2 linked regions of the Yarrowia lipolytica genome follow. The protein of the gene in region 2 purifies or fractionates together with the protein of the main gene of each other region. This does not show direct contact. Links are inferred from orthologs where the notes say so. Each region holds a gene or a part of one and is shown on either strand. Other genes may lie near its edges.

Region 1 (10,331 bases), on a different chromosome or scaffold from region 2:
GCGTATGAACACGGGCTTTGAGCTCCTAATGTGCAACATGACCAACCCCAAGGTGGAGTATGTCATGAACAATGCCATTGCGGTCAGTGAGGAGGAAGGTACCGCTGGCCTGATGAAGCGAAGTAGCTTTGAAGTTGGTCAGACTTTCTTGTCGAGAGACAGATTTGGCAATCTGCTGGTTCGTCCCTCTCGAGAATTCAACTTCTTTGATTATGACTGGGTCAAGAGCATGGAACGTACTCATTCCAGTGCAGGGGAAGAGCGGGTGGAGCTTGATTATCGGGGACTGGTGACCATTTACGGCATGGAGGGCAGCCGAGACATCGATTTTCCAAAAAATGTGTCTCAGCATCGACTGCTCACGGGTTCTGAGGCTCTGAGACAGGAGCTAAGGTCGCAGCTTTGGGAGGCAGACAAACACACAAGAACCTACGATCCGTACAGAATCAATTGGAGAACGGTGACGGACAACCTTGTGTACAAGATGGCGCCTATTTTGGCTCAGATTAAAAATGGGCAGCTGGAGGCTGGGACCAGCTCTTTGAACGATACGTCCAAGCATCTTGGTGGTATCACGTCCATGTTACGACTGAGATTTGAGGGTGATGAAGAGCTCGCTAACAGTACAAGACATGATGTTGATGCTCAGGTTGAACGATGTGCCAAAACATACGCTTCTGACTTCCATAAGTACGACGTCACGCCTTTTGAGGAAAAAGTGAGGTTCGCCATCAGACTTGTTTCCACTGCAGTGTGTTCTGTAATCATGGAAACTGCAGATTGGGCAAACAAGGTACAGACTCGTGTCGGCAACGTTTCTGAAGAGCTTCCATCTAAGTTGCATGCTGACGTTTCGGATCTGATATCTGATCTCAACTGGTCCTATTTTGTTTCTTGTACTCATCGGTGCAAGGACAACGAGGTCTGCTATCTCCCCACCTGGCCCCATGGAGGTCGAGAGCCCCATATTCCGGCAGAGCCTCTTCAGTGTAGAACCATTGAGGATCTCAGGAAGAGTAGAGGGCTGTAGGTTGTGTTTTATAGCAATAATTATTTTCTGATTTATGCTGTTTGTCAAGTATCTTTCAAGTAATTATGTTGATTCTCTTATATTCTTCACTTTGTTGGTTATCTCTCCTATACAATTTAGATTCGCGCGCATGCAGACAGACAGACGTTATCGTCATGAAACTTCCACCTCCCCACACACCAAATCACCATGGCAGCACTCATCATTGTGGACTTGCAAAATGACTTTCTTCCTGGAGGCTCTCTTGCTGTAGTCGACGGAAATGACATCATACCCATTGTTCAGAAACTCGCTGACTCTGGCAAGTACAAATTTGTGGTGGCCACCAAAGACAGTCATCCCCAAGACCACACATCGTTCGCCGCCAACCATGGAGCTGAGCCGTTCACCTCAATCACATTCAAGCACCCTAACTCAGACAAACAGGTAGACCATACCGTGTGGCCTGTTCATTGTGTGGAGGGTACTTCTGGGGCAGATTACCCTCCTTCATTCGACTCGTCCAATGTGCAGGCTCTTGTTCGAAAGGGATACTTGCAGGACAGAGAGTATTATTCTGGATTTGAGGACGTTTGGGGCATCCACAAGACAGAGCTTCATGACCTGTTGCAGCAAAATGGCGTTACGGAGGTTGACGTGGTGGGACTTGCATTTGATTATTGTGTGTTCAATACAGCTAAAGACGCTGCCAAACGCGGCTATAAAACCACAGTCATTAGGGAAGCCACCAAACCTGTGGATCCTTCTTCTGAAAAAAAGATTGTTGCTAGTCTTGAAGAGGCTGGGGTTCATGTCGTCTGATCCACAACCCAAACCGACTGGTGATACTGCTGCCAGTACAATACTCGCACTCCGATTGACTGCTCAAATATGCAATGTACAGTACACTGTGTGTATTTTCGTCTCTACATTCTCTTTATGACGGGTCTTTTGGGGCTCACTTTCTACAGTATATCCTAACACTTTTGTCTCTTTTTTACACAACACATACCATACAACTCTCAACACAAGACTCTGTTTGTTTATCATGGACGCCCTATACACTGCCTTCAACTCTGGAAAGCTGGAACCCTTCGTCCAATCTGTGTATAGAGATGGAACCATCGACCTCTACGCCAACAGTGAAGCCATCTGTCTGTTCTCAGGGAGAGAAAATGAGCCTTACCTAGACAGCTTTTTGGGTGGTATCTGTCTTCGATACAGCTGCAACCGGCTGATCAACGAAGGACCGTGGGAAGACCGTCTGGAAGCTGCCAAGCAGATGGTCCAGATCCTCACTCGTCACTATAAGACGCCCATTATCGACTCCAGTGTTCTGCTGAGCATGCACTCCGTGTTCGATACCATGGTCTCTCTGGGTGAGGAATGTTGCGTCTCTTCAGGCTCAATCGACTTTGTGCGCTTCGGAAGAGTCTTCCATGGCATCACGCTGGTCTACATTTTCATATCCGAGCTCAACCAGGCATTAATTTCTATTCCTGACTTTCTGATCCAACGTTGGGGAGCACTCAACCTACGGGCCAACGCCCTAGGCATTTCTGTCCAACCCAAGACCATGACCAAAGTTCTAGACGAGTCTCGAGGTCTTGTTTTGGGCATGCCTGTGTCCAATGGAGATTCTGCTACTGCCCATTACCTACTTTCGCGATTCGGAAAGATCTCCCAGATACTGACAGGACTCCAACAGTCTCCAAAAATCAGCCTTGGTGAGATATTGAGCTTCTGTGCGTCAGAACCTGACCTGCAGTTCCTCTCTCTCATGCTTGTTCGTCAAGACTACTACGAAGAGCTTGTCGAGCTGCTGGAGAACCCTGATGAGGAGATTGTGGGCATGACGACCATTCTTATGGTTCGTGTTGGTCTCACAATCAGATTCATTGACCCTGAGGAGGAGCTGCCAAGCCATCCATGTGTCCCACGATACTCCACGGGTTCTCTCACCCAACAGATGGAGTTTGTGTTCCAGATTTTGGACCGTCCAGACCTCTTGTCGGCCAAAATGAACTCTTCTAACCCCCATCACACCTGGATGGGTGCTCTGTCTGCAGTGGTGACTGAGTGGATCGCCGCTGATAAACCTGAGGAGGTGTACGGAGCGAACAAGAAGTTCTATGAGCTTGATCCCCCTGTATCACTCATTTTTGCGCTGTGTAGACTCCTCTACCTCGTTTGTGAGATGAATGGGGCTGGAAATAAGGATCTTGTCATCGGTAACATTCTCTCCTATGTCTCTCCTCCATCTCCGCTTCTACCCTCCAAGGTAGAGCCTATCAAGTTGGAAGACAGGTACCTTCCTTTCCAGCTGGGCGAGTTCGAGGGCACCACGATGGCTACCCGGGAGAGAAACCACGTGATTCTCTCTTTAATTGGGGTCATTAGACTCCAGATTGAATACACATACTCTTTTATTCGCGAAGAGATTGACAAAGATCTGATTAGAGTGCTCTTTTCTGGACTCCTGGCAGCCTATTCCAACTGCGTTATCCACGAGGAAACGTCTTCTATCGAGCTTATCATGTCCACTTTCAACGGTTGCATCCAGGTCTTCCCGTCTGGAGGTCTGATTCTTGTGGAACTACTGGCTGAGCTTTCGCAGCAGTCTCTACGGTTTGTTGGGGTATTTGCCACCGTGTTCAGCAGGTTCTATGACAAGAAGTACTTTTACGGGTGCGAGTTTTACTTCAATGACTTCCTTAGACGTTGGGGAGACACGCCGTCTTTTGATATCACACAGCTGCGTTCCAAGTTCACTTCTTCCTTGGAAGATAGAGCCACTGTTTCTGGAAGTACTTAGTTACGGTCTTGCAGTATATTCTCTTCTTTTCCTATCATTACCATTTGTCAATAAATATATGCCGTTCAAGATCGATCTTGTAGCTAGTTTACGTAATCATTTTCACTTGAGAAGCCTATTTCAGTAACCTGGTTTAGGGCTCAAATATGCATGGTGAGCCTATTTGAAATTTTTTGGCAGTAATCTGCAGAGGGACACAAAAGTTCCAAGGTATATCACTGACGCATCAACACCACAATGGTCCTTCGATCTACACCTGGAGCCGTTTCTGTGTACCAGATTTCTGGTACAAACTCTTCCAGATCACTGCCAGAATGGCTGGCCAAGAAGCGAAAGAAGTCTCTCAAGAACGATGCCGAGTACTCCAACCGAATCGAGCTGATTCAGGATTTCGAATTTGCTGAGGCTTCCAACAAAATTGAGGTGACTCGAGATGGAGGATATTGCATGGCCACCGGTACTTATAAGCCTCAGATCCATGTCTACGACTTTGAGGATCTCTCTCTCAAGTTTGAGCGACACACTGACGCTGAGAATGTTGACTTCAAGATTATCTCCGACGACTGGACCAAGAGTGTGCATCTGCAAAACGACCGATCTATTGAATTCCAAGGACAGGGCGGAATCCTGACGAAATCACGAATCCCAAAGTTTGGACGAGCGCTGGCTTACAACGACGAAAACTGCGACCTGTATGTTGGAGCTGCAGGAAACGAGGTATACAGACTGAACCTGGACCAGGGTCGGTTTATGGCTCCCTTTGAGCTCAGCAGTGCCGGTGTCAACTGTCTGGACGTTAACCAGGCCCACGGTCTCCTGGGTTTCGGTACTGATGCTGGTATTGTCGAATTTTGGGATCCTCGAAGTAGGAGCAGAGTGGGTATGCTGGATGTGGGCGCTCCCGGACTGGGTGGCGGTGCCACAGCTCTCAAGTTCAGAAACGACGGTCTGAACGTGGGTATCGGTAACGCTGACGGTATTGTTCGTCTCTTTGATCTGCGAGCGCCGGAGCCCTATGTCACCAAGGACCAGGGATACGGTTTTGGCATCAAGAAGGTGCTGTGGGTCAACGACGACCATGTGCTGTCTGCCGACAAGCGAGTCGCCAAGATCTGGGACCGACGAACCGGAGACGCCTACACCTCCATTGAGCCCACTGTGGACATTAACGACGTGGCACACATCCCCGGTTCCGGTATGTTCATGTTCGCCAACGAGGGTATTCCTATGCATACTTACTACATCCCCAATCTGGGACCTGCGCCCAAGTGGTGTTCATTCCTGGAAAACGTCACCGAAGAGCTGGAGGAGAAGCCCAGCACTTCTGTATACGACAACTACAAGTTTGTCACCAAGCGAGAGCTGGCGGCACTCAACATTTCACACCTCATTGGCTCGGCCGTGGTCAAGTCGTATATGCATGGTTACTTCATTGACCAGCGGCTCTACGAGCAGGCCAAGCTCATCTCCAACCCTTTTGCTTACAAGGAGCACCGAGAGCGGGAGATCCGAAAGACTCTGGAGAAGGAGCGGGAGTCGCGTATCCGAACCTCTGGAACTGGAGCCATTGCATCCCGTGTCAAGGTTAACAGGGCTCTTGCTGAGAGACTATTGGCTGAGTCTGAGGCCGAGGTCACTAACAAGAAGAAGGTGTCTGCCAAGGAGACTTCCAAGGCTGCTCTTTCCGACGATCGATTCGCTGGCATTTTCGAGAACCCCGATTTCGAGGTCGACGAGAATGCTGCAGAGTTCAAGCAGCTCAACCCTTCGCACAAGAAGGTCAAGGGCCAGCAGTATGGTGAGGCACCTCTGCGAACTACTGCCCGACCCCTTACTGCTGCTGAGGAGGAGGCCATGGAGGAGAATAACGGCTACTCGTCCGATGAGCACGTGGAGGCTACTGATGAGGAGCCCGACTCTGAGGATGAGCGAAAGGCCGCCAAGAAGAAGGCTCTGGCAGAGAAGCGGGCTGAGAAGAAGGCTGCTGAGCGTGCAGCCTTCCAGGCCAAGCGTGCTGACAATATCAAGATGACTACGGGCTCTGAGGCTGCTCGAGAGGAGATTCCCGATGACGACTTTGCTGACCGAGTGGCTGATCTCGAGGCTGAGGAGGACCGGCACGTCATGAAGAACGTCAAGATGTCCAAGGGCGCTGGAGGAGCCGTGGAGATGACTTTTGTGCCTCAGGGAAGAGGCAAAAAGGGTCGTGGTCCTCGACCCAAGCGAGATGGAGATGAAGAGGAGGCACGGGACACTGGAAAGAGCAGACAGGAGTATGATGGTCGACGACGGGCTGGCAAGAACGCCTTCCGAGGTATGTAAGAAATGCATAATTAGTATAGAAGCGAAAGGATTCAAAGTATTAGTTCGAGAGATTATGTAGATGATGTAATGAATGCAGTACGAGTGTATACAACTGAGATACCGGTACTGTACTTGTACTGTAGCTACTCGAAAGACGCAGGAAGACACCGATGCAAACGCTTATTCCTACTCGTACTCGTACTATGATAGCACTGAAAACTGTATCAATTTGTCGTAACCGTGCCGAATGGCTTGCCGCACCATTTATTATCTCGCCGCACACCATTATCATGCTCCAGATCCTGTCACGCTCCACTTCCCGTAACTACCAGTATGTGTACATTCCTCTGCGGCTCCCCGTCCACCGACCGCAGATAAGATGTATGGCCACTCACCGGCTAATGAAATCGGTAGTTTGCTCATGCTGCCTTGCGGAAAAAAATGGTGAACACTAAACGGAGACTCCCTTTTGATAATAAGGTGTTTGGCGTATAGAGATACGGGTTTTGAAGTATAAGAGAGAAGAAGTGTAGGTTGCTGTATTTGGATCTCCCCAAGTCTAGTCGTATCACATCTGACTGTCCATGACGTGCTCTACAGCCATTTCTTCGTAGCTCTTCTTTCTATGCGGCTCTTGTTGAGTTTCAACGGGCCCCGCATGTACACTCCAGCCAAACTCAACTGTTGTGTATACTGTAGGTATGGTATGGTATGAAAGAACCGCCTGAGAGAGGTCTCGGGTTCCCATGCACGTGACGCCGCAACACAACGGTTGCGTTTAAGTTGGTGTCTTAAGTTTGGGCCCGAGTGGGGAAGGTCCTACGGGGCCACATAGCGGTTGGATGGCTTAGTAGTGGTGTGTCATCCTCCGGACCACTGATTTCTGCGCGCCCAGAAACGTCAGCAGCACACCACCCGCTTGTCGGCATGATTGCGAATAAACAAGTTAAGAGTTTCATTTAACGGAGCGAGGGCTGCTGAATGCACAGGAGGATAACGCAATGCTGCGCACACATTTTCGGCACGCAACCTAGCAGCAACTGTTGAGACTGCTGTGAGTGGGTCTGTTTAAGGGTTTGTGTGTGTGCCGGCTGCATGGGGTTAGGTAGGCCAGTGTGATTCAGCCTATACACCCGCGCCACACACGTAAAACTGCATCTCTATCTTCTTGGAGACAACGGGAAGCTGTCAACCTCAACTTGTTTGTCGGCCTTGCGGCGCTTCTTTTAGCCCTGGCCTTATAAGGTAAAATAGGGTTGGGCAAGCGGCTGGAATTACTCCGCGCCGCACGGACCTTTAGGGCCTTCGGCAGCAGTTTGGAGAAAGCAAAAGCCCAGAGCACACGAGTGTGGTTTGCACTTGTTTTGATTTTGGTCTGAAAAAGTCCCTATAACCCTACATGTCTGCTCAGGACGAACGCTCACGCATCCCCCCAATTTCCTCCCAGGCCGATTCCGCCCTTCTCAATCCGCCTCACTCTGCTCTTCAACAACAACAATCGTCTTCCAACGGCACCAGTAACCAACCAGACTCGTCAACCATGACGGACACACGAGGCCCGTTGATGACGCAGGAAGCCCGCGATCGCGAGACCCAAAACAGCCTGAAACCACATCCGCAGTCGCAGTCGCTCTTCAACAAACCCCAGATCGCACCTGTGCTCACTGAAGCTGCCTCAGGCTTGCGCCCCGACACCAACATCAACAGTAATAACAACAACGCCTCGTCGCATACTTCTCATACGACATCGCTCTTGTCAGCAGCAGCATCAGCTCGAGGGCCCGATGGATTGATCGCGCACATCAGAAATGCTGCACCCCCAACAGCGGCCATAGAGTCCTCGCCATACTACTCTTACCCCCAACCACATTCTCATATGAAGAACCATCCGCATCAGCAGCCTCCCGCAGCTCCAGGTATCTTCCCCCAGCATCCCCAGCATTCACCACCCCACCCACAAGCCCATCCTCACCAGCACCAGCCTCCAGCACCATACGGTTATGCCCCTGGGCGTCTGCCTCCTCCAGGAATGCGACCCCCCGCCATGGGCTACTACCCGTACTACCCGTACTCGGCCGATTTGCAGCGAATGCCTCCAGTCGACCAGGGAGACGCCTCACACCCCAAGCTGCCACGTATTAACGTCGACCCTCGTGTAAACTCGCCTGAACAACGACCCTACCCCGACTACGCGCAGCAGCAACCTCAACAGCACGCGCCTCTGCAGACCAGCAACAATAACAATCGCGCGCCTCCAGAGCAGGCGTCCACAGCTTCCGACTTTGGTGGCGACAGACCGCCACCTAAAAAGCGAGGCAGAAAACGAATTGAGGTCGCCGAGGTGCTGGCTAACAACGACCTGAGCCACTGCTCGCCTCTGGGAGAAAAGGAACTCGAGGCCGACCATCGAAAACACAAACGGCCCTCAAGACCTCAGGCTGCAGAAACCACTACCGGAGAACGGCAGTACCCATGCACCTTCCCAGGATGTGAATGGTCATTTGTGCGAATTTCCGACCAACGACGCCACCTGAGATCGCACCAGGAGCCGCTGTTTGTGTGTCCCTTCTACGCCGAAGACAACTCATGCCACAGAAACGGAGGCTCTTTCACACGATCAGATGTGCTCAAACGACATCTGCGGCTGGTCCACTTTGTGCAATTCAAACAGAGTGACTCGGGCTGGTGTAGATACTGTGAGAAGATCTTCCCATCACACAAATTCTTCCTCGACCATTGCGACACCTGTGCAGTCAACAACAAGAGAAAAACACGAAAAGGAGCACCAGACCACGACGCGGACTACAACCAGAACAAGTCTGAGCAGGCGCAAAGCCATCAGCAACCACAGCAGCAATTGCAGCTCACACAGCCCCATCAGTCTACTCATGCCCACATGCCTCCCCCCCAGGACGTGTCTCACAACGAAATTGAAGCCGACCAAGAGCCCGAGGCTGATCTCGAATTGCTCAGTACCGCCTCCAGTATGTTGGCCAAGGAGCCTGGAGAGCTTCCTGTTCTTGCATCGCATTTGAAGGGCCAGGAGGACTCGGATCGACACCAGAAACGAAAAGGCCGATCCTCCAAGAGTTCCCTGTCGGGAACCATTCAAGCAGGACATCATCTGTAAATTATTGTATTATTTATCTTACACGGAATTGTAAGGACATTCGTTTTGCATAAATATCCACAGTACATACTGTAGCATTTATATACACTTGTGGTGGCTACTGTAGAAGATTATCGTGATCGTTCTTTACTATTGCTCCACTTGTTTCGTAGCTTTCTAGCTACTACTGTACATCACTTTACACTTCTATTCATTACTCTCTATATATGACTACAAGTAGAGATTATTTGTACCAAGGCTATGTATGTGCTGTACCCTTAAAGCAAACCATTTCTATCCATCCACACCTTTCCTGAAAGAAACACTCCTGTGGGATCGTACTTTTCTCGCAACGACTTCCACTGCTTGAGATCATCTCCATACCACTCATCAATGATGGGCTTGAGACCAAGCATCTTGCCGTCCTCGCTCTCGTTATCCTTGAGCTCGGCCGTCTCGGGACCCAAAAAGTTTTTGGCCCAGTGAGGCTTTCCTCCAGCCTCGGCCACAATGCCCTCAAAGTCACGGTACCACTTGCCCACAGGGGAGTTGACTCCAAAGGGTCTGTACATGGTGGCGTTGATGTAGAGGGTGAGGTTGGAGTTCGTCACATGGCCATGAGGAGAGGCATAAGGCCGGTCTCGAGGATTGATGTCCAAAAGAGGTCGCAGAGTGTTGCCGGTGATGGCTCCTCGTCGCGAAGCAGAAAACTCCTGAGTGTTGGGCTCCACGTTTCGGTCGCCACTGTCGGGCACAGACATGTTGGAGCATCGCACCTCCACGGGGGAATGCACATAATAAATATTGTCCTTGGCGGCAGCTTCAATTTTGGCTCGCAGAGCTCGCAGGACATCGGGGCCATTGTCCAGAGGCATGCCCCACTCGTTAACAAATTGGGAGAAGAGACAGTCCATGTTGAGACCCTCGACAGAGCCCTGCACGGCCTCCGAGCCGGTTCCGGAACCCAGAGTGTCCTCCATGCCGTACTGCCTGGAGAAGATGAACCGCTCGACCGAAGGGGTAAGCGAGGGCCACAGTCGTACCGAGACCCACAGCAGAGTCTCGTAAAAGAGCCGGCCGAGCCAGGTGCCGTA
Region 2 (10,331 bases):
AGAAGCCAGTAGTCAAACTCGAAGACTGCTATTTGTTGGGCCGTACCTGTTCTCTTGATCTCGATTCGCTCCTCATTGATATCCCTAGCTAGGTACCGGCCCTTGAGTCTCTCGTATCGCGCATCCAACTTCTCCTTCACATATGGCACCACAATGAGGAAAAAGAGTGATCCCCAGATTTTCTTCTTGCTCAGCCGTTTTTCAGCCTCGACCAGATCCGGCACGGCCTGGCGTGTTCTCAGTGCGGGATTCGTCAGGATCTGTGTTCGTTTCAGACCGTAGAACTTTTCTGTGAAGCTGGCATTCCATGTCTTGAGATTATAGTACTCCACCAGACCCATGAACAACGCGTACAGCTCGTCGTAGCGGTTGACGATTCGCAGTAGATACCGCGGATGTCTCTGGGCGTAGAATGCAAGAATATATCGAACCGAAGGGGCAATCAGACCCTCCAGCTGTTTAGCAGACAGAAGCTCAAACAGTGTGGGCACATCAGGATCCAGCTGGCTCGCGTTGAGTGACGAAAAGTAGTCCATTTTTTGTCGTGAGGAAAGGTCGTTTTGGGTTGATATGATATGATCAGGTTCCAATCGTTTGGCTTAACAATGATCAACCGCCGTATTGCTGGTTGTCTGGTGCTGTGGGGGCAAATCAGTCTTCCCTTCTTTCATGTTCAACTTTATGTGGGGTATGGATGCACAAACCTAATTACTTACCGAGGATGTAAAAAGTGCTTAGTAAGTGCTGTAGCTACGAAGTGAAGATACAGTGTGTTTCCCTAAAATTATGAAGAAATCTAATACAATATAAACATGCTATGGTTTTTGTTCGTTTGTTGCTATGGCAATTTTTACAAGGTAACCCACTGGCTACCCTTCTTCTCCTGTTTCACCTTAATAGGAGGCAGATCCCATCCAGTGCCTCCAGAGCCAATAGCAGCTCCCAGCCGAGGAACCACCCAACACTCTCGAGAGGTACTGGTGATCATCTTGGGGCCGTAGGGGGGAGGCAGGGGCTTGGAGTATGTGAGTAGAGCAGTGCCCTTGGCAATGTTGCCAATCTGGGCAGATGTGATATCACAGAGAGGCTTGATTCTCAGCTTGGAAGATCCCGATCGGTTGACGGAAGCAAATACCAACATTTCGGGAGGATGAGTTCCCATAGTGTTAATGACAGATCCGGGGTGAATGAACACCTGAGTGTCGTCAGGCAGAGGGTTTCCTTGGTCGTCAGTCTTCTTGTTGGTGGTGGAGGTGGGGAACAGAGTCTGGTAGGGAACGTTGATGATTCGCTCTCGAGAAGTGAGCTTGTAGTCCTCGCTGACCTTGTCCAGACGCTGAGCCACCTGGTCAACAAAACCAGTGGCAATCATCTGCTTGAGAGCCTTGATCTGGAGCTTAGAAGGAGGCTTGAGCTTGGCATTCAACTGTTCCTTGAGCATAGGAGCTGCTCGAGGGTCGGAGTTGGCCACAACGATTCGGCTCAGTTGCTGTCTCAGCTTTCGCATCTCCTCCATCAGCTTGTGTCGCAGGAAGAAGCCCTTGCAGAAGTTCTCCAGGTCGGAATCGTAGTCCATGGCGCAGACGGCAGAGAGCAGCTTCAGAGCGTCAGATGCAGGGTCCAGGGAGGCCAGCTTTGCCTGGGCCTTATGGTAGCTGGATCGCAGCTTTCGCTTTCGCTCAATCTCGTAAATGTCCTCGGGCTCGGAGTCAGACTCGTTGCTCTTAATCCGGTCTCCGTCTTCATCAACCTCCTCAACCTTGGGCTTCTGTGGTTTCTCATTGATGCCAAGCTCGTGCTCTCCAATGAAGGGATCTCCAACTGTGAGAGCAGCAACAATGGCAACCATGTAAGGCAGGCACTCGAGCTGAGAACCAATAATGAGCATCTTGGCGAATCGCGGGGACAGAGGGAACAGAGACATCTGCTTACCCATATCAGAAATAACACCAGTGTTGCTGAGGGCACCTAGGTACTCCAGCAGCTTCTCGGCCTTGGCCAGGGACTGTCTGTCGGGGGGAGTGGGGAAGGGGAAGTTGACCACCTTGTCAATACCCATGTGTTTCATCTCCAGAACAATGCCCTCAACAGGGCATCGGAGAATCTCGGGGATGGAGAATTGAGGGAAGAACTCCTCATAGACGGCAGATGAGAAGACACGGTAGCAGTGACCGGGACCAGTTCGACCGGCACGACCAGCTCGCTGATCGGCAGAAGCCTTGGAGATGAAATCAACCTCAAAGGACTGAACACCAGTCTCTTCATCGTACTTTCGCTCCTTTGCTCGACCACAATCAACCACATATCTGATACCAGGAATGGTCAGCGAAGTTTCAGCAACGTTAGTAGCAACGACACACAGTCGATGGCCGGCAGGAACCTCCTCAAACACCTTCATCTGCTCCTTGGTAGGCAGCAGAGAGTAAAGAGGAAGCACGTGCAGAGGAGCAGACTCATTTCGCTCCTCGACAGCAAGCTCCTCTTCGAAACCTTCTTCTCCGTCCTCCTCATCTGTCTCAGACTCTCCCTCGACAGCAGCATAGTCCTGTTGTCGCATATCGGCGCCAAAATCAACCTCCTCGGCCTCCACTACAGTCTCATTGGCAGACACCTTGACCTGGAGATCCTCAGACTTGTCCTTGGGCCGCCACACCTTAGTTCGATCAGGGAAGGCCTTCCGAAGCCGCTTGACCACGTTAACAATCTCGTTTTGGCCAGTCAGGAAGATCAGAATACCACCATCGGGCAGTCGTTTGTGGATCTTGCAGGTCTTTCGGTAGATCTCGTCCATGTAGTCGTAAGTTGTTCGTTTGTTGAAGTGGACAGAAACGGGATATTGTCGGGCCTCAACCTTGAGAACAGGAGGAGGAACTGGGAAAAGAGTCTTGTTCTCTGTGAAATCGGAAACCCGCAGAGTAGCAGACATGATAATGAGCTTGAGGGGAGACTCGCACTTGCCTTCGTTGAACATCTCCTTTCGCAACTTGAGAACTCGAGAAAGCACACCAATGAGAATATCAGTGTTGATGTTACGTTCATGGGCCTCATCAATTACCAGAGCAGAGTACTTGGTAAGAGCAAAGTCTTGGGACAGTTCTCGCAGCAACACACCATCAGTCATGAACTTGAGAGCTGTATTATCCTTCACGGTGACATCGAATCGCACCTGATGGGCAACTCTATCACCTTGGTTACCCAACTCGTTAGCAACACGTTGCGCCATAGAGATGGCGGCCACTCGTCGAGGCTGGGTGACACCGATCATACCAGGGTAGTCACTACCCTTCGTTCCGAAACCCGCCTCGATCAGGAATTGAGGAGTCTGTGTAGTCTTACCTGAACCAGTTTCACCACAGATGATGACACAATCGTTGTTGAAAATGGCTTCCATGATTCTCTGTTCTTCTCCGGTGACAGGAAGGTTCATTCGGGAGGTCTGGATTTCAGGGTCTCGCTGAACGTTGACATAAAAGGCCTTTCTTTTGGCGTACTCGGGTTGGGCAATGTCTTCGGGAGGAGGAGTAAGGCGGTCCTCGTCTCTGTCCACTCTTTCTTTCTTGATCTTGATATGCGAGAGATCCTCGATGTTGGAAGACTTGGGTCCAGACTGTTCATCGATCCATTCCTTGAAAGAAGAACCCTTTGTCTTTTTGGTGACGATTTCGGTATACTCGTCATCTTCCTCGTCTTCCTCTTCCTCGTCCTCATCTTCGTCCTCATCTTCGTCCTCATCCTCCTCCTCCTGCTCGTCTTCATCTTCTTCCTCTTCCTCGACATCTTCCTCGATCTCCTCCTCGGCAGCCGCCTTCACTTTTTTGGTGCCTTCCTCTTCTGACTCCTCAGACTCCTCATCCGAATCCTCGTCTGAATCTTCGTCAGAATCCTCCTCATCAGAATCGGTATCGTCGTCCTCCCCGGAGCTAACGTAGTCCTTCTTGTTCTTTCGAGCACGCTCAATCTCGAGCTTCTTTCGCCAAGAGTAAGAGTTTTTTGCGGGCTTGGAAACCTTGGCCAGGTTCTGGAAACCGAAACCACCACCAGCCTTGGGTCGCATGTCAATGAATGAGCTTTTGTTCTCCTGCTCTTCCTCTTCGGCCATTTGCTTCTCCTTTCGCTCCAGCTCAGTCAGGAGATGAGAATGCTTCTCGTCATCCCACTCTTCGTGATCGTGTTTCTCGTACAGAATCTCCTTGGTCTCCTCATTACCGAGACCCAGTTTCTCCAGACGCAAAGCTTCCTCGATCCGGGCTTTTTTGGTTTCCTTGTCACCCATGTGTTTCATAGACTTGAGCTGAGATGTATCAAAGGTGCCCTTTCGAGCAGCAAACTCGGAAAACAATGCCTTCTTCTCTTCTCTCTTGAGTTGTTTTTCCTGAGTTAGTATGTAATCATAAGCGCAGCGAATGTCCTTGGTTCAGCTAATCTGGTTCAGCTAATCTGGTTAAGCTAAACCTGCGACGTATCCTCGTGTCATACTCACAATGTACTTGTCTAGACGCTTTCGCTTCTTTGAAGTCATCTTGCTCTCCGTAGGTGTGAGCTCTTCCTGGAGCTTTCTCTTTCGAGCCTCCTTCTCGGCCTCACTCTTGGGCACCATGAGCTCGGCATTGGCGTCTTCTTCCTCCTCCTCTGCTGTAGGCTTCTTGACCCAGGTTTTCTGCTTGGCGGCCTTGAGCTCCTGCTGCTTCTTCAGCGAGCCGGCTCGGGCCTTTGCGTTGTATCCTAGCTTGTATTTCGCCATAGTTGAAGCGATGGGTTGAATCAGCTTCACGCAGGTTATGCTATATTGCCCAATTTTTTCTGATTGTGCATGATGTATGCGCGGTCATGTGATGTGGCTGTTGGGAGGAGACAGGTTCTTTTTCTATAATAACTTGAAGTAAATGTTCACGTAATATATGTTTTTCTTTGAGAGTCTCAGTTATAAACCAAACTGCAGTTCACATAATTATAAACAATAAAATTTTGGTTCCCAAAAATTGGCATCGATTTTTGAGGGGCGAAAATAGTACGAGCCGCAAGTGAGGTGGTCTCAGTAGAAAAATGAAAGGTGTAATTAAAAGAGACACATTTATATTAAATGATGGTTACATAGTGTGCACACTGAGCCCTAGTATGTTATACACCATTCTCGTTAGTAATTGCTCTACAAGTAATCTATTACACATCCGCCTCATGGGTCTTTAAGCGCGACGTTGAAGCGTGCATGACTGTTCTGTGGTGACGAGAAACGAAGTCCTTCAACATAGACAACATCTTCTCCTGGCATGCCAACACTAATGCACGACGACCCCTTGGACGATGAGGAGGAAGAAGAGCCTCCACGAAACATTGGACGGGTGGTCTTTGGCCCTCGTGAATTCGACACGTGGTACCACTCGTCGGCATACTATTTTTCACAGAAGGACGAACTCAAGAAGTTGACCTGGAAGCGGGCCATGGCGTTGATGGAGGCCAAGGCCCTCGACAAGGACAAGGACAATCACACCTGCGACATGTCCCGGCTCTTCATTGAGCGCTACAGCTCTCCGTCTGTTGGCACACCTGGAGGAACCTCTTCTGCATTAACATCCTCAACCATTTCGTCCTCTGGATCATCAGCAAACGCATCTGTGGCCCCCAATGACCAACCACCAGCCCAGGTCGACTTCCAGGTCAAACAGCTGTTTGTCTGCGACTCGTGTTTCAAATACTCGAAGGTCTCCAAGGACATGGCCCAACACCGAAGCACCTGCAAGTATGTGTTCAAGCACCCCGGAGAGACGGTTTACAAATCGAAAGACTATGCCATTCGCCGTGTTGATGGCGCCGTTCACAAGCTCTACTGCCAGAATCTCTGTCTGTTCGCGAAGCTCTTCCTGGACCACAAGTCTGTGTTCTTCGGCGCCGATGCCTTTGAATTTTATGTTGTGCTCGGCAAGGATACCGCCAGCAGCAGGCACTTTAAACCCATGGGCTTCTTCTCCAAGGAGAAACTGTCGTGGGACGAAAACAATCTGGCTTGCATTCTGGTATTTCCTCCGTATCAAAGGCGAGGGCTGGGCAAACTGCTGATCGAGTTTTCATACGTGCTGTCGAAGTACGAAGGCCGTAAAGGAAGTCCAGAGCGACCGCTGTCGAAGTTCGGCACTTTATCATATATGTCTTACTGGTGTACTACGATAGCCCGGTTCATCTTGATAGAGTGTACAGAAGACGTCATCACGATTGAGACGATCAGCGAACATACTTATATCCAGCCGGAAGATGTGATGCGAGCACTCAAAGAAATGCATGCTGTAGTTCTCTACAGCGACGAAAAAGCCAAGAAGGTACAACTGGGAGGACGGGTTTTGAAGAAATCTGTTAGACGTTGGGTTAACAGTGGCAATGTGAAACTGAGCCCTGTGATTGACGAATCCATGGTGTTTTTGGAGTGACAAAGATGGAAGTTGATGTTACAGTCAAGACCTATTTAAGCCGCGAGCTACAGGTCTTCTGGCTGACTGGGTGCTACATTACTATGCCCCAGACCATATTGTTTCATGTAATGTACATATATTTATAATGCAAGGTGATAATGCCTGGACCGGGATCATAACGGAACAGGGTGTATAATAGTTGTGAATCTAGTTCTTTCGAGGCTTGACCAGACCCTTGTAGACGAAGTAGTAGACGATGGTGGAGTCATTGTCCACGATGGCCATTAGCATGCGATCGACGTCTTTTCCAGCCACACCCTCAGCCTCGCGAAAACACTCGTCCCACTGCTTGATAGTCCAGTCGTCGTTGGATCTGGCAGGTACTAGCCATTCCGATCTGATCTCAGCGTCATCAGGGTGCAAAGTCCTGGGTGGAGTTCCATGCACCAGGTCTGTGAGCTTAGTCTGGTGGATGACCACGTCGCTCCACAGATGCTGATGAACAAGGTTGGTTCTTATTTGTTCAGCCATGGTGAATGTGTGATTGATAGTGGTTGTTTTGTTCAGTATCTGTGCCAGTCGTCTACCACTAACTTTTTCTGCTTACTGTGCGTCTCAAAGTTTCTGCGGGCGCGTTATCTCCGTCGGATTTAATTTTTAACGGTCCTAGGAAAATCTGCATATGCTGGAAAATACTCGTGTTTGGGAGAAGACTTGGGTGCCACCAAAAACCTGGATTAGGCTCAGAACTCTACAAGTCCGGGAAACGTAACACTGAGATACGACTGGCGAAAGCGAGGCGGCGGTAAGTCCGTGAATATAATGCTTATTGACCGTTTGAGGGCGTTTAATATGTTGATTCACTGTTATGAACATTTTTGCTGCTCGAACGCACGTTTTACGCCTCCAAACGCCCGACTTTTCACCCGTTTCTCCTCCCAGCCGTACAAACATTCTGCTTATACTTCATGTATCTCATTTTTTGAGCTAAATCACGCATCAGGTTTAAAAACACACATCACCCTCCAACAGTCTTCCTAACACACCTGTGAAGTCACGACCATTTTCGCCACCGCCTAAAAACACGTTGAAAACAAGAGTATTTGAGCTCAGCATCTGCCCTAGTGCCCCCCAAACCCGCATTCGCACGCTACATCGCATAGCCTCAACACACGTGTAACACTACTGTACACAACAATGAAATTCTCGGTACTTCTTCTTGCCGGAGCCGTTCTGGCGCTGCCAACAGCTACCGTGGTAAACACCGAAGCCATCGACTACTCGACCATCACAGATTTGCCCGGATCCGAGCCCACAGACGTGTCTGACCTCGAGAAGCGAGCAGACCCCTTTAAGCGACCCCCCAAGGTGTTCTCCAAGAAAACTAAAATCACAAAGGCCCATGTGACCAAGCCGTGGCTGCTGAAGCCCACAGATGGAGGTGAACCCATGCATGTCACCCCCACCGTCTGGGGAGACGCGCTTTTCCGAGGCCAGCGACAGGTGGGTGCTGTTCCCAACCCTTGGATCAAGCTGAAGAAGGACGGTCAGGCCAAGACCATCACTCCCAAGGTGGTCAAAGGAAAGACTAAGAATGCTCCTCCTGAGTATGGAGACTGGTTCCACGTCAACCGAGACGTGACTGAGAACGCTCGTTCTGCTGGCTACAAGACCGCTCACCCTACTGATGTCGTGGTCCACAATGAGATGTTGGACGAGGAGGATCCCATCGAGGCCTCCTTCAACCCTGTTGAGCGATGCACACCCGAGAAGTTTATCAAGGTGAAGAAGCAGCGAGTTGGCCCCTGGTGCTCCCCTCAATACGGAAAGGGTGTCATGCTTGATCACGTCCACTGGTTCACCTGGTACACCCGAGAATTCCCCGACGCCGAGAAGGTCCGACTCCACTGCGCATACATTCAGGGTAAGGCTCTGCACAAGCGAGAAATTGAGGACAGCAGTGTCTTCCACATCACCGAATGGGTGTCAAACACCTGGGGAGTCTACCCTATGGAGATTGAGGAGGAGTGGCTCGATGGCGAGTACGAGCAGAAGGTTGCCGTTGCTATCCAGCCTGACTACATGGATGACGACGAGATCACCGATGACTATCTTCTGAAGAACTCTACTTTTGTGCGATTCCGACGAGGTGCCATCGTGCAGAAGAAGGACAAGGGACGACTTGATTTGGACAAGAACGAGGAGGGCATGATGATCACCATCATCACCATCCCCTCTGTTGTCGTCATTTTCGCCTGTATCTATGTCCTGTTCACACAGATCACTGCTGGAGCTCGGGCCATCCCCAAGTTCAAGAACCAGCGACGGCGAAAGGATGGCCGGCAGTACGAGAACATCAAGCTGCAGAACCAGCGACGACGACTCGACTAAATCAGTCTCTGACACTCTCACAATCGATAAAAAATGGTTGGTCCTCCTTTAGAATTTACCTCCCCTTGTTAGCATAATAATAATCCCGTTTCTTTAGCCCTCGTAGATACAGGTTGTTTCGTATATATCCCGTTGGTTCAACCCCACACGAGGGCACCATATCAAGCCGACTTTTGAAGACTTGGTGGAGCGAGGTCCACGAAGCCAAGACAGATACAGGTCGTACATACATATGTATATACAGTCGATATCTTATACTCAGACATGTGTCGTTTGTGTTCGATGTACTGACACAACTAAGGGTTATACTGGTTCGTGCCTGGACTGCATGCATAACCGTTGTATAAAGTTGTGTCTACCAAGCATGTGTTCCGTTTCCCAGACAGATTGTTTGGGGTTTGGGGCGGTTGGAACTTGGTCGGAGGTTATATAGAGCGCATTATTGGAGGCTTTGTGTTGGATTTATGGACCCTTTTCTCTCAAATTACCGTTATGACGCCACCCAGATGAGTAAGCATGGCGACAACGTTCTTTCCTGCCCTGTAAATCCACACGTTTTCTGCCACCTCAAATTGAAACTCACTGTCCATCACAACAACCGTTTGCGAGATATACTTTGCGTGATTGGGGATATGGGGATATATATAAGGATTCAAGAAGAGTGTATTCGTACACAGCGGGTCCATTTTTATCTCGGTTTCACTTTAATTAACGGGGGGAGCAGCATTATTTCATGTTGTGTCTACTGGTAGCCCCGCGTTGTCTTGCCTGGCTGCAGCATTTTAATCTGCGCAGAAAAAAAAAAAGCATCGTTGTTGGGAAAAAAGACGACGCACAAACCGAGCTTCGTGTTACAGTAACCCTGGATCGTGTGAAGAGGCACGTGTAGCAAAAAACCAGACGCACAGAGGGGAAATCAAAACGGCTGAGTCAGCTATTTTTATTCCTCGCTCAAAAGAAGACCATTTTATGGTGCCGTTGGGGTAAAAAAGTCGTCTAGTCATTATGCTGACCAACCTCCATCCTCACCCATGCATGCCAGCGGCTGTGCATGATTATAACCTTCGTAAGCACACCATCTGGAAGAACATCACCAGTCGCTCAACGCAACAACACCACACATGGAAAAAGACGAAGGGACGGGGACCCTGAGAGGCGCGACGGTCAAGACGGTGGTCACCGCGTCGATACCGTCGGAAGACAGCTCGAAAACCCTGATCACAGAACCTCTGAGGGCCAAACGATCCTTCAAACAATGGCTCTACCTGCTATCGCATGTGCTGCTCATCGTCTTCATTATCGGCTTTATGGTCGTATCTCCGATCGACATTATCACCCAGTCGCGACAAACCAACCAGTTCTGGAACGGCGCTATCGTCATTGCTGGTTGTGTCATCTTCATCTTTCTAGCATTACTACTTTCGTTTCTACGACTGTTTCGAACCCGACAAAACCTCTCAGATATCCCGCGACGCTACGTGCCTCGCCCAGACGACGTGCCCAAAAATATTGCCAAGGAGATCAGAAACGATTTGGACA

What was found.
Region 1: the proteins of YALI1_D35148g (region 2) and YALI1_A22157g purify together in Saccharomyces cerevisiae (affinity purification with mass spectrometry, with the first as the bait; 3 studies listed by BioGRID). This does not show direct contact. The link is inferred for Yarrowia lipolytica from reciprocal best matches to the Saccharomyces cerevisiae genes ECM16 and ENP2.

What each region holds. Positions count from the first base shown.
Region 1 is NC_090770.1:2,211,641-2,221,971, forward strand, and holds YALI1_A22157g (uncharacterized protein), read left to right. Parts: upstream 1-4,061; coding exon 4,062-6,146; downstream 6,147-10,331. Other genes in the region: YALI1_A22111g (uncharacterized protein), read left to right, coding at 1-1,030; YALI1_A22129g (uncharacterized protein), read left to right, coding at 1,220-1,831; YALI1_A22137g (uncharacterized protein), read left to right, coding at 2,058-3,824; YALI1_A22192g (uncharacterized protein), read left to right, coding at 7,528-9,258; YALI1_A22228g (uncharacterized protein), read right to left, coding at 9,516-10,331. UniProt on the Saccharomyces cerevisiae protein: May be involved in rRNA-processing and ribosome biosynthesis.
Region 2 is NC_090773.1:3,509,140-3,519,470, reverse strand, and holds YALI1_D35148g (uncharacterized protein), read right to left. Parts: upstream 4,742-10,331; coding exon 4,481-4,741; intron 4,373-4,480; coding exon 851-4,372; downstream 1-850. Other genes in the region: YALI1_D35190g (uncharacterized protein), read right to left, coding at 1-536; YALI1_D35143g (uncharacterized protein), read left to right, coding at 5,268-6,419; YALI1_D35126g (uncharacterized protein), read right to left, coding at 6,609-6,932; YALI1_D35119g (uncharacterized protein), read left to right, coding at 7,599-8,792; YALI1_D35096g (uncharacterized protein), read left to right, coding at 9,914-10,331. UniProt on the Saccharomyces cerevisiae protein: Probable ATP-binding RNA helicase. Required for 18S rRNA synthesis. May play a role in restructuring of the pre-rRNA.